Linked DNA regions of Arabidopsis thaliana. The protein of the gene in region 1 interacts with the protein of each later gene in a pairwise test. Each region holds a gene or a part of one and is shown on either strand. Other genes may lie near its edges. The genes, in order: AT1G07560 and SMO1-2.

What was found.
Region 2: the proteins of AT1G07560 (region 1) and SMO1-2 interact in a protein complementation assay, tested with the Arabidopsis thaliana proteins (one large-scale study listed by BioGRID).

Annotation. Positions count from the first base shown.
Region 1 is NC_003070.9:2,325,321-2,331,911, forward strand, and holds AT1G07560 (Leucine-rich repeat protein kinase family protein), read left to right. Parts: upstream 1-1,994; 5' UTR 1,995-1,999; coding exon 2,000-2,084; intron 2,085-2,225; coding exon 2,226-2,763; intron 2,764-2,851; coding exon 2,852-3,333; intron 3,334-3,410; coding exon 3,411-3,555; intron 3,556-3,660; coding exon 3,661-3,732; intron 3,733-3,869; coding exon 3,870-3,941; intron 3,942-4,022; coding exon 4,023-4,100; intron 4,101-4,213; coding exon 4,214-4,374; intron 4,375-4,463; coding exon 4,464-4,672; intron 4,673-4,755; coding exon 4,756-4,882; intron 4,883-4,969; coding exon 4,970-5,026; intron 5,027-5,108; coding exon 5,109-5,298; intron 5,299-5,376; coding exon 5,377-5,776; 3' UTR 5,777-5,828; downstream 5,829-6,591. Other genes in the region: AT1G07550 (Leucine-rich repeat protein kinase family protein), read right to left, coding at 1-266, 448-985, 1,111-1,192; APK1A (Protein kinase superfamily protein), read right to left, coding at 6,049-6,518.
Region 2 is NC_003075.7:11,954,321-11,959,018, reverse strand, and holds SMO1-2 (sterol C4-methyl oxidase 1-2), read left to right. Parts: upstream 1-2,100; 5' UTR 2,101-2,323; coding exon 2,324-2,659; intron 2,660-2,737; coding exon 2,738-3,060; intron 3,061-3,401; coding exon 3,402-3,549; intron 3,550-3,642; coding exon 3,643-3,675; intron 3,676-3,835; coding exon 3,836-3,895; 3' UTR 3,896-4,179; downstream 4,180-4,698. Other genes in the region: AT4G22758 (PPR containing protein), read right to left, coding at 198-542. UniProt on the Arabidopsis thaliana protein: Non-heme iron oxygenase involved in sterols biosynthesis by catalyzing the removal of the first methyl group at the C-4 position. 4,4-dimethyl-9-beta,19-cyclopropylsterols such as 24-methylenecycloartanol are the preferred substrates.

The DNA.
Region 1 (6,591 bases):
CTTCGAATTCTCTAGTTTCATTGGCCTGGACTTCCATGATCTCGGCGATGTAAATATAACCGTAAACCTGGTCAGTAGCCGTCTTCAAATTCCAGGTAATGGTCATTGGATCACTGGCATTAGCGGGCATGGCGCCGGTCCTAAGTACATCTTGTGGTGGGTCATAGCCATCTATAGAATCAATAACGTGGTGACTTGTGTTTATATGCGTCCATTCTGGTAATATCAACGGCACCCAAATTCTATCATGCACATCTTGGGGATAACTGCCAAAATCAAGTTATATATTTTACTTTACATCAACTAATAACAATAATTAATACTGTATAATCTTGGTTTACGCTAGATGGCTTAAATGACAATAATATTAAAGTTTTTGTGGAGATTAAAGTTTCTGCTCATAATCTACTTTGGTTATTTATAAAGCATAAGGTGAAAATAAGGTACCGTATATAGTTGTTTGAATCGGTGAAATAGAACCGGTTATAATTCCTCAAGGAACCGGTTTGAGCAATATAAGTATCATATAGCAAGGGTCTCAACTCTATGGATGATATCATTGGTGTACTCGTCCCTGTCTTGACGAGACATATGTCCAAGATGTTAGACCTTGTGATGTGAATGATCTCCTCCAGAACTCCATCACCTGACTTCCCCATATCTATGGTTGTCCAAATATTAGGACCAAGATAGAGGTCGAATCTTGGAGAATTGTTAAGCCCGTCATAGTTTCCATATCGAAACATAACCCTGATTAGATAATTTGTGTCTTGCTTGACATTTAGACTGTAACAATTTCGGATTCCATCCGGAAAGTATCTCAAAACCGTATATGGCTTCCTGAGTTTCATAAGCAAGTCTTTTTGGACATTACCAGTTTTTCCTCCTTGAATGAAATCAGCATCGGATATGTACGTCAGATTGCTATTTGCTTCGTTGTAAGGAGACTCGTTAGAAGCTAATCCACAATCCAAACTGATGAATCCTGGTAAGACCGAAAAGGGAGAGGTACATATTGTTTTTCTTATATAAAGTTCTATCTCAAAAAAAAATTTAGAATGGTTTATTTCCAAAATTATTGTAAAAAAGAAAAACAGATGATAAAAAGACCTTGTTGATTCTGAGATTGAACAAGATGTAAGATGGATAAAGTGGCACACGCAGCAAACAGAAGCCTGGTGCAAGTGTCCATTTTTGATGATTTCTTCGTTCACAACTAACAAAACTTACTACTACCAAAGTTTTGAAATGGACAAATTTTTAGTGTTATAAGCTGCAAATGGAATTAATCATGGTGACGTCTACGTATAAATTTTGTTTTAAAAACTTAAACTTTTGCCATGGTTTTATCTAACGAATAATAACAGCTAACCACTGGTATAATATCCATATAAAATAAATCAAGACGTTAGTGGTTGATTATAAAATTTTTGAAATGAAAAATATGCAACCAGGTTATATACTCTCTATATTTTAAAAATCTCGATTCATTTGTTCACTTTTGCTTATATTCGTGGTTTGATTCTGACACGATCGGTGACTTTGCCATATATGAATATGACATCCCTTCACACACACGGTAATAACTCATTTTCTCAGGTTAATCTACTATAGGTGTGCTTGATGATAACCAATTAGAATCAATCAGTTCTACTAATTTCCACTTGCAAACCTTTTTTATAAAATTTAAACATGACACACACTTGTCAGATTTTATAATTCCACTTGAGAAAAGTCTTACCATAATCAAATTATTAGACAAATTATTTCGAATTTGGTTAGAAGATCGGTCCAACTCAATAGGTGGCTTATTGTTATTGGTATGTGAACGTTGACATATTTCCCGTTATGATCCGCCCCAAGCAGAAATATAAGTTAATAAATAATTATTTAACAATTCATCCGTTTTTTATATCCAAAGGTTTGATTTGGCATGTTTTATATTGCAAGTACATTGGCAATTCGTAATCCTTTTTTTTTTTTGGACAGAGGTGGGAAAATGAAAAACCTCCGTGGACTTCTATTGGCCTTCCTAGTTTTGTCTTTAGGCATTTCCGATTTTCTTCGAGCACAAGATCAACAAGGTATAACTTTTTTTGTTTCAGGTTTTCTTCTTTTAACTTTGACTAAACATGTTTCCTATCACAATTTAGTCATTAATTCAGTTTCCAAACTTATTTTTTTACCAAATTATTTCTCTGTTTTTTTTCTTTTGCCTTTATCAGGATTCATCAGTTTGGATTGCGGGTTGCAAGCCGATGAGTCTCCTTATACCGAACCATTAACAAAGTTAACATTCACATCAGACGCCGATTTCATCAAAAGTGGAAAAAGCGGCAAGATTCAAAATGTTCCGGGGATGGAGTATATAAAGCCATACACGGTTTTGAGATATTTTCCAGATGGAGTACGAAACTGTTATACTCTTATCGTCATACAAGGCACAAACTATCTGATCGTAGCCATGTTTACTTATGGAAACTACGATAATCTTAACACACACCCAAAGTTCGACCTTTATCTTGGTCCAAATATATGGACCACGGTCGATTTGCAAAGAAATGTAAACGGAACAAGGGCGGAAATCATTCACATACCAAGGTCAACTTCTTTGCAGATTTGTCTTGTTAAGACGGGAACAACTACGCCGCTAATATCAGCTTTAGAACTACGACCATTGAGAAATAATACTTATATTCCTCAATCTGGTTCCCTCAAGACATTGTTCCGCGTCCATTTGACTGATTCCAAAGAAACTGTTCGGTAAGCCAACTCAAAACCAATTGGTAATGAATAGATTGGTTTCCACTGGATACACTGTTCGGTAATACTTTCCATCCTTTCTCTTCAGGTATCCAGAAGATGTCCATGATCGTCTTTGGAGTCCATTTTTCATGCCGGAATGGAGACTGTTAAGAACAAGTCTCACGGTCAACACTTCTGATGATAACGGCTATGACATACCGGAAGACGTAGTGGTTACGGCAGCCACACCTGCAAATGTGAGTTCACCATTAACCATTTCTTGGAATTTGGAAACACCTGACGACTTAGTTTATGCATACCTCCACGTCGCTGAGATCCAATCCTTAAGGGAAAATGATACCAGGGAATTCAACATTAGCGCAGGCCAAGATGTTAACTATGGACCTGTTAGTCCTGACGAGTTTCTAGTGGGTACTCTATTCAATACATCACCAGTTAAATGTGAAGGAGGGACATGCCATTTGCAACTAATAAAAACTCCAAAATCAACTCTCCCTCCCCTCCTCAATGCTATTGAGGCTTTTATAACAGTGGAGTTTCCGCAGTCTGAAACTAATGCAAATGACGGTATGTCAGCAAAATCTGAGTATATATATACTTTTTTGTATATACTTAAGTGTTTTCATTCTGTTATTGTGTGTTAGTCCTTGCTATCAAGAGCATAGAAACAAGCTATGGATTAAGTAGAATTAGTTGGCAAGGAGATCCATGTGTTCCTCAACAATTATTGTGGGATGGTCTTACCTGCGAGTACACCAATATGTCTACACCACCAAGAATCCATTCCTTGTACGTCCATGGCTATTCGTAACATTAAAACAGTTTTTTGTTAAGCTCTGCATTTCGTAACATCTTACACTTTAAATGTGTGTTATGATCTTTAATTACCACCAGAGACTTGTCCTCAAGTGAACTAACTGGAATTATAGTTCCTGAGATCCAAAATCTTACGGAGCTTAAAAAATTGTAAGTATGAACACATTGCCAATTTTTTATCAAGGTCAAACACATACTCTGTTTTACCTGAATACTCTGTTTTACTTGAATACTCTGTTTATCAAGGCCAAACATATAATCAATTAATTCATTTTTGCATATGATAGGGACTTTTCAAATAATAATCTAACAGGTGGAGTACCTGAATTTCTAGCCAAAATGAAATCATTGTTAGTCATGTAAGTTACTTGGTCACTCATATGAATCACATTGCCAATTTATTATCCGAGTCTGTTGATGTTTATTTTTTACCTAGGCAGAAACTTAAGCGGAAACAACCTTAGTGGATCAGTCCCTCAAGCTCTTCTCAACAAAGTGAAAAATGGGTTGAAGTTGAAGTAAGATCTTCTCAACTATATTTAGTCTTCAATAGTTGATGGTCATTGAAATATGATATCTTAATTTGCAGTATGTCTTCACTAACACTTGATTAGCTTGTTTACAATACTAGCATTCAGGGAAATCCAAACCTATGTTTTTCCAGTTCATGCAACAAAAAGAAAAATAGCATCATGTTACCAGTTGTTGCATCACTTGCTTCTTTGGCTGCTATAATAGCAATGATCGCTCTGCTTTTTGTTTGTATTAAAAGACGCTCATCAAGCAGAAAAGGTATCTGTATCAAATTCATCAAACCAGAAATATTATTGTATGCATACATAATTATAAAGTGATTTCTAATTATTTGTGTATGGTTCTAGGTCCATCACCAAGCCAACAATCAATAGAAACAATAAAGAAAAGATATACATATGCCGAAGTTCTTGCCATGACAAAGAAATTTGAAAGGGTTTTGGGTAAAGGAGGATTTGGAATGGTCTATCATGGTTATATAAATGGTACTGAAGAAGTAGCGGTCAAGCTACTCTCTCCATCATCAGCTCAAGGCTATAAAGAGTTCAAAACAGAGGTTTCTTTGGCACCCTTATGAATTTTTATACATTTTTGTAAGGCTAAGTTGACGTATATTATATATTGTACATATTTGGATAGGTAGAACTTCTTCTAAGGGTTTACCACACAAATCTGGTAAGTCTTGTTGGATACTGTGATGAAAAAGATCATCTGGCCCTCATCTACCAGTACATGGTCAATGGCGATTTGAAAAAACATTTTTCAGGTAACACATGTATATTCTCATGCATATATCATGACAGAAATGCATCGTGTTGATATGTGACATTCATGTCTATGCTAATACATGCAGGTAGCTCCATCATTAGCTGGGTTGATAGACTAAACATAGCTGTTGATGCAGCGTCAGGTTCGTCATTTTCATTTCCTTTTAACACCACTTGATCAAACTTTCTATTGTTTTGTTAAACACCAAAGAACTTTGGAGACAGGTTTGGAGTACTTGCATATTGGTTGCAAACCGCTGATAGTTCATAGAGATGTAAAAAGTTCTAACATACTATTGGACGATCAATTACAAGCTAAGCTTGCAGATTTTGGGCTTTCTAGATCTTTTCCCATTGGGGATGAATCTCATGTGTCTACACTTGTTGCTGGAACATTTGGATACCTTGATCATGAGTAAGAATTTTAGCTCTTTCTGAAAACTATCTTCTCTACCGGTTAAAACAAAAGAATCATAATCATTTCGTCTTGCAGATACTACCAAACTAATAGGTTGTCTGAGAAGAGTGATGTCTACAGTTTTGGTGTTGTACTGCTAGAAATTATTACAAACAAACCGGTGATCGATCATAACCGCGACATGCCTCACATAGCAGAATGGGTGAAACTTATGCTTACTAGAGGAGACATTAGCAATATTATGGATCCTAAACTTCAAGGGGTCTATGACTCTGGTTCTGCATGGAAAGCTCTTGAATTAGCAATGACATGTGTGAATCCTTCTTCCTTGAAAAGACCCAACATGTCCCATGTTGTTCATGAGCTGAAGGAGTGTCTGGTATCTGAAAACAACAGGACAAGAGACATAGACACATCGAGATCCATGGACATTAACTTAAGCTTTGGCACAGATGTGAACCCCAAGGCACGTTAGTCTTTTACTCTTTACTTTGCAGCATTCATAACAAGCAGATATGCGAACGAACTTATCATTATGTTGATGAATCCTCATGTTACAAAGATCAAAATTAAATGTTTGTCGTAGTGTAATGAGAGGTGAACTGTATTTAAACAGAATTCTTACATTAAGAGAGACAAAAACTGTACATCCAGATTCCATTCTCAGGACATGATATAGGAACTTCATGTCCTGCAAATGTTTTACCAAGAACACTGAACACAGACCCAGGACGTGTTTAACCCTATTCAAACATACAGTGGCGAGGCTGATGGGCGAGGATAAGCAACAACTGTACTGCCAACAGCAGTCTGTCGAGCAAAACCTGCATTCACTTTTTTGCTGACAACACTGTCACTTCTCCTACGCATTCTTCTATCTGTTTTATCCATATTTCCTCCTATAGCAGCATTTAAAGACTGAATGTGTTCGAGGTGCGAAACAACCTCGCTCATGTTTGGTCTCAGCTTAATCTCTGTGGTGAGACATCTCAGAGACAGAGTAGCCACTTTACATGCTTCTTCCATAGAGTACTGGTCCTGAAGACGATTATCAATGACTCGGAATATCTTTCTTTTGTTTACGAGGTATGGTTTAGCCCACTCCACAAGGTTCCTCTCTCCAGATGGGCGGTTCTTGTCCACTGCTCGACGACCAGACAACAGCTCCAGAAGGACAACCCCGAAGCTATAGACATCACTCTTTGTTGTTAGATGACCTAAGGAAAATGTAAAGTGATCATTCATATGAAGAAGCCAATTCCAGAAAACAAAGATTTGACCAAAAAGGAT
Region 2 (4,698 bases), on another chromosome or scaffold:
TGGAGAACTGACTCTAGAATTTGCAGCTGAACTTAAAACTCTTTGTTCAGCCTATATAATGGTTATATTGAAATATTTTATAATATTAGGCTTAAACTGTAAACTTTTAAATCTTTGTGGACTAAATGATGAATTCTCTTACAGAGTTGAAATCATGAATTTGTTGATTTGAAAAAATAGAAGCAAACGACTCTGACCTCTTGATTGATCGGAGATGAAGACGAGGGCGAATATAAGTTCAACAACGACGGAGACGAAGCGAAAACCTCAGAGCGAATCCTAGGCAAGTAAACGATCGGTTTTGTTTCTTCTTCCATCGGTAAACCTCTCATCGGCGATGGTCGCCGCAAGTGATTACTCTGTCCGTCGCGGTGGCGATTAAGACTCGGCTCTGAGAAGCTTCTCTCGAAAACCTTATTACTCGATTTAGAGCGATTATTCTTGTCGGAAACATATCTGAAAGCTGTTCGTCTTGTTCTGGAGCTCCGACCTCCATTTCCTACAGGATTCGAAACTTTTCTCCGGTGAATCGAATCAGACATTTCGTGAATGATGATCTTTGCTTAAGGAGGAGGAAGAAGAAAAAACAATTGAGAGGTTTTGGTGGTTTGCTTGGCAAAGAAGCGAATTAAGAGTTATTCTCTGCTTTTGCTTTGCTTTACTCTTTTATTATCTTCTTTTCTTTCATTTGTATTTTTCAAATGTTTTTCCAAATCAAATTGTTTTTTTTTTTCTTTTTAACATAAGTGTGGATTTTAACATTTAAATTCAAACCGACCAAAAAAAATACACGATTAAAGGTAGTAATATAGACGTGGTTCTTGTAATATAGTATTTATATTTCCTGTCGACGATCGATTCTTTTATAGTATGATATCTTGTGCTGATTCTTACGTACTTGTGTTTATTATAGTAAAATAGAAATGCGTTGAATTGTAGCACTGTATTAGATTAAAACTTCTATGTAATTATGGAGCTAAAATGTTTTCTGGTTAGCATACGGAGTATTTTTTAAAAAATCTATCCTTATTATGGATAAAATGTGTTGGAAAAAGGCAATAATATACTTGTACAAATGAATATAAATTTCTTGATGCATTGTTTTAGAAGATTACTTGGGAGACTCACAATCCTATAAAGTGTAAAGGAAACAAAACTATTGGATTTGTAGAAAAGTTGACACGTTAAACAAGAAAACGAGAAACCCAAACAAGTTTCGTAAAACACAAAAAATCTAAGGTGATAGTGAGAAGCACATAAACAAATGAAAAAAAACACATAAACAATTAGAGAGGAGGGAGACTCAACTAGTATCATCAATTCATTAAATTTTACGAAAGTGCTGAGTAATGGAAGTAATATAAAAAATTTATAACCAAAAACAAGAATTCATCAACGTCAAGAAAAAACAACATAAAATAAAAAGGAGAATTTGTGTGGCTGAGATTGGTCCGAGGTTTGTTTCCACTGTTAAAAGAAAGAACTTTTGGGCTTGATTTAAAGTCATTAATGGTGTGGTCGACTTCTCTTATGCCATACGCACTCATGTTCACGCGTAACGCACTTGTTTTCCACCAAGTATTTAACAACGATCGTTTGTGACCCTTTTTTATGTATACTTGAAACTTAAAAAATATGTATTATTACATTTAAATATCATTTATTGTCATGACGAAAAAATTGTAAGACTTTATAATTTCAAATGTAACGTCACTTTTCGTGATGATGTAATACCATTCTATTACTTAAATACAATTGGCCAACAGCCTCAATTTATTTCAACCTTTTGCTATCTCTATAGTATAATGGTGTCATAAAAATTCATAGACACATTCCACAAAACTCGTGTATGTATATCCGTGTCTTTATATATATGTGTATATCCAAGTGTATAATAAAGTTTTTTTTCTTAAAAAAAAAAACAGAAATTTGTATGCACCATTTAAACAATTAAAGAAAGAAAATTGGGCCTACTCCAAACACAACGCTACTGTGGAGTACATTTTATCCATTTTAATGGCCCAATAATTTATAATGGGCTTTTAGTATGGGCCATTTTGTCCCTCTTTTTTATGTTGTAAGCGAGATCTTGAGACAATGTTAGTAATTTTGGTTTAATCCGGTTCAACAAGTAAACATCACACTTGTAAACTAAACCGATAATGCCACGTCACTACTCCAAATATTCGCCAAATCATAACAGACAAAATCCAACAACAACGACGACACTCTCCTCTCTCACTCTCTCTCTCAATCTCAATCTCAATCTCACGTCAACGACCGTCGCCGTCACCGGAAGGAAACGATTTCATCATCTTCTACAATGATCCCATACGCAACAATCGAAGAAGCGTCGATCGCATTATCTCGAAACCTCACATGGCTAGAGACTCTCTGGTTCGATTACTCCGCCACCAAATCCGATTACTACCTCTACTGCCACAACATTCTCTTCCTCTTCCTCATCTTCTCTCTCGTTCCTCTCCCTCTCGTTTTCATCGAATCATCTCAATCCACCTCAGATTTGTTCAATCGCTACAAAATCCAACCAAAAGTGAAAAACTCATTCTCATCGATGTTCAAATGTTACAAAGACGTCATGAAGATGTTCATCCTCGTCGTTGGTCCATTACAACTCGTTTCTTATCCTTCGATTCAGGTTAATTTCTGGAATTTGGCTTCTAATTTCGGAATTGATGCGATTTAGGTTGATTTTGTTTTTCGTGTGTTGAAACAGATGATTGAGATACGAAGTGGATTACCATTACCATCATGTATGGAGATTGTAGCACAGTTAGTGGTTTACTTCTTGGTAGAGGATTATACTAATTACTGGGTTCATAGATTCTTTCATTGTAAATGGGGTTATGAGAAGTTTCATCATATTCATCATGAGTATACAGCTCCTATTGGTTATGCTGCTCCTTATGCTCATTGGGCTGAGGTTTTGCTTCTTGGCATTCCCACGTTTCTTGGACCTGCTATTGCTCCTGGTCATATGATTACCTTTTGGTTGTGGATTGCTTTACGACAGATTGAGGCTATCGAAACTCATAGCGGGTAAGGAAAAGGAATGGTTTTGAATTGTTTATCTTAGTTTATAATGCGTTGGGGCTATGTGGGAAGTTTCAATAGTGCGTTTACCTTTTGTTGGTGGGGCTAAGGTTAGGCACTAGCCTTTTCTGATGCTTTATTGACTGTAATTAGCTCTAGGTGATTGTTTAGAGACTGCTTAGTTAATCTTTTGTGGTCAACATGAGCAAGAAATCATTCTTGAGATGATAAGCATCTTGTCTTGTTCAAATAAGTATTTGGACAATATGATGATTGCTTGGTGCATGAAACTTGTTTCTCTGGAGATAAATTGACTTGTTTTTTTTATTTTTCGTTTTCTTTTGAAGATATGATTTCCCATGGTCTCTGACAAAGTACATTCCATTTTATGGTGGAGCTGAGTATCATGATTACCATCACTACGTTGGAGGACAAAGCCAGAGTAACTTTGCTTCAGTTTTTACTTACTGCGATTACATCTATGGAACTGATAAAGTGAGTAATGAAACTTCAGTTCTTTTCCGGTTAGCGTCTACTAATTCTGGATAAAAATTTGACAATGTGGGTATATGTTCTTATTTTCATCAGGGTTACCGATTCCAGAAGAAGCTTCTTCAGCAGGTAAATAAATACTCCATAAACTGAGACTAGCTTATCTCTCGGCATACCGCATACCCATAAACGCAGCCATCAAATTGCAAGCTCACATAACAGTATATGTGGTATCTAGTATCATCATATTGATGATATGTTTCTTGATGCTATATCTTATGAGTTGCAGATGAAGGAGAAGTCCAAGAAGAGCAACAAGCTGGTTAATGGAGGAGAGAAATTCGATTAGTAAATCTAAAACCCCTCGCGAGGTTGACTTACCGTAAGTTTCAAGCATTCTACAAATGTAGTCAATACTTAAAAATGAAAGGGTAGTTAGTTTTCTCTGTTCTGGTCTTCCCTGTGTCACATGAAAATGCTCGTGACGAGTTCCTATCTGAAGTTTTTTTTAAAACTCTTTTGGAATTGGTGTGTGTCAATAAATCCTTTTTGTATATTTTAAATGTTACATAGTGCATTCATTGGCTTGTAACAAGTTCCTACTCTGATAGTATTAAGTTAAGTTAAGTATAACTTAAGTATCTAACGTTAACAACAAGGCCCGTCTAGCTCAGTTGGTAGAGCGCAAGGCTCTTAACCTTGTGGTCGTGGGTTCGAGCCCCACGGTGGGCGTTTCTTTTCCTTTTTGTTGCATTTGAGTGGCATGATTTAAAAGGAAAATCCTTACCATAACGATAGTTGCATTGATGATGGGGGTCGATTTCACTCTCGGAAAACAAATCTAATCAAAGAAGGCTAAAACAAGCGAAACACATGCATTTACTAAAGCTGTCTCACCAAACTTGAAAACAACAGTTTTAAGTACAGTAGTAGGTACAATAACTTATTTAGTTGTTACCAACTAATTTATGACTTTAAAATCGAAACACTCTCTTCCTTCCTGTGTTTTTTCAACTAAACCTAACAACACACAGTTTTTCTTTAACACACATTTCCTTGTTCTCGTTGTCTTAGAATTACCATGGACACAGTGAATATGATAATAACTTCAAGAATGGGGTTGTAGCTGTGTGAGGCTATATTTTTTTTTTT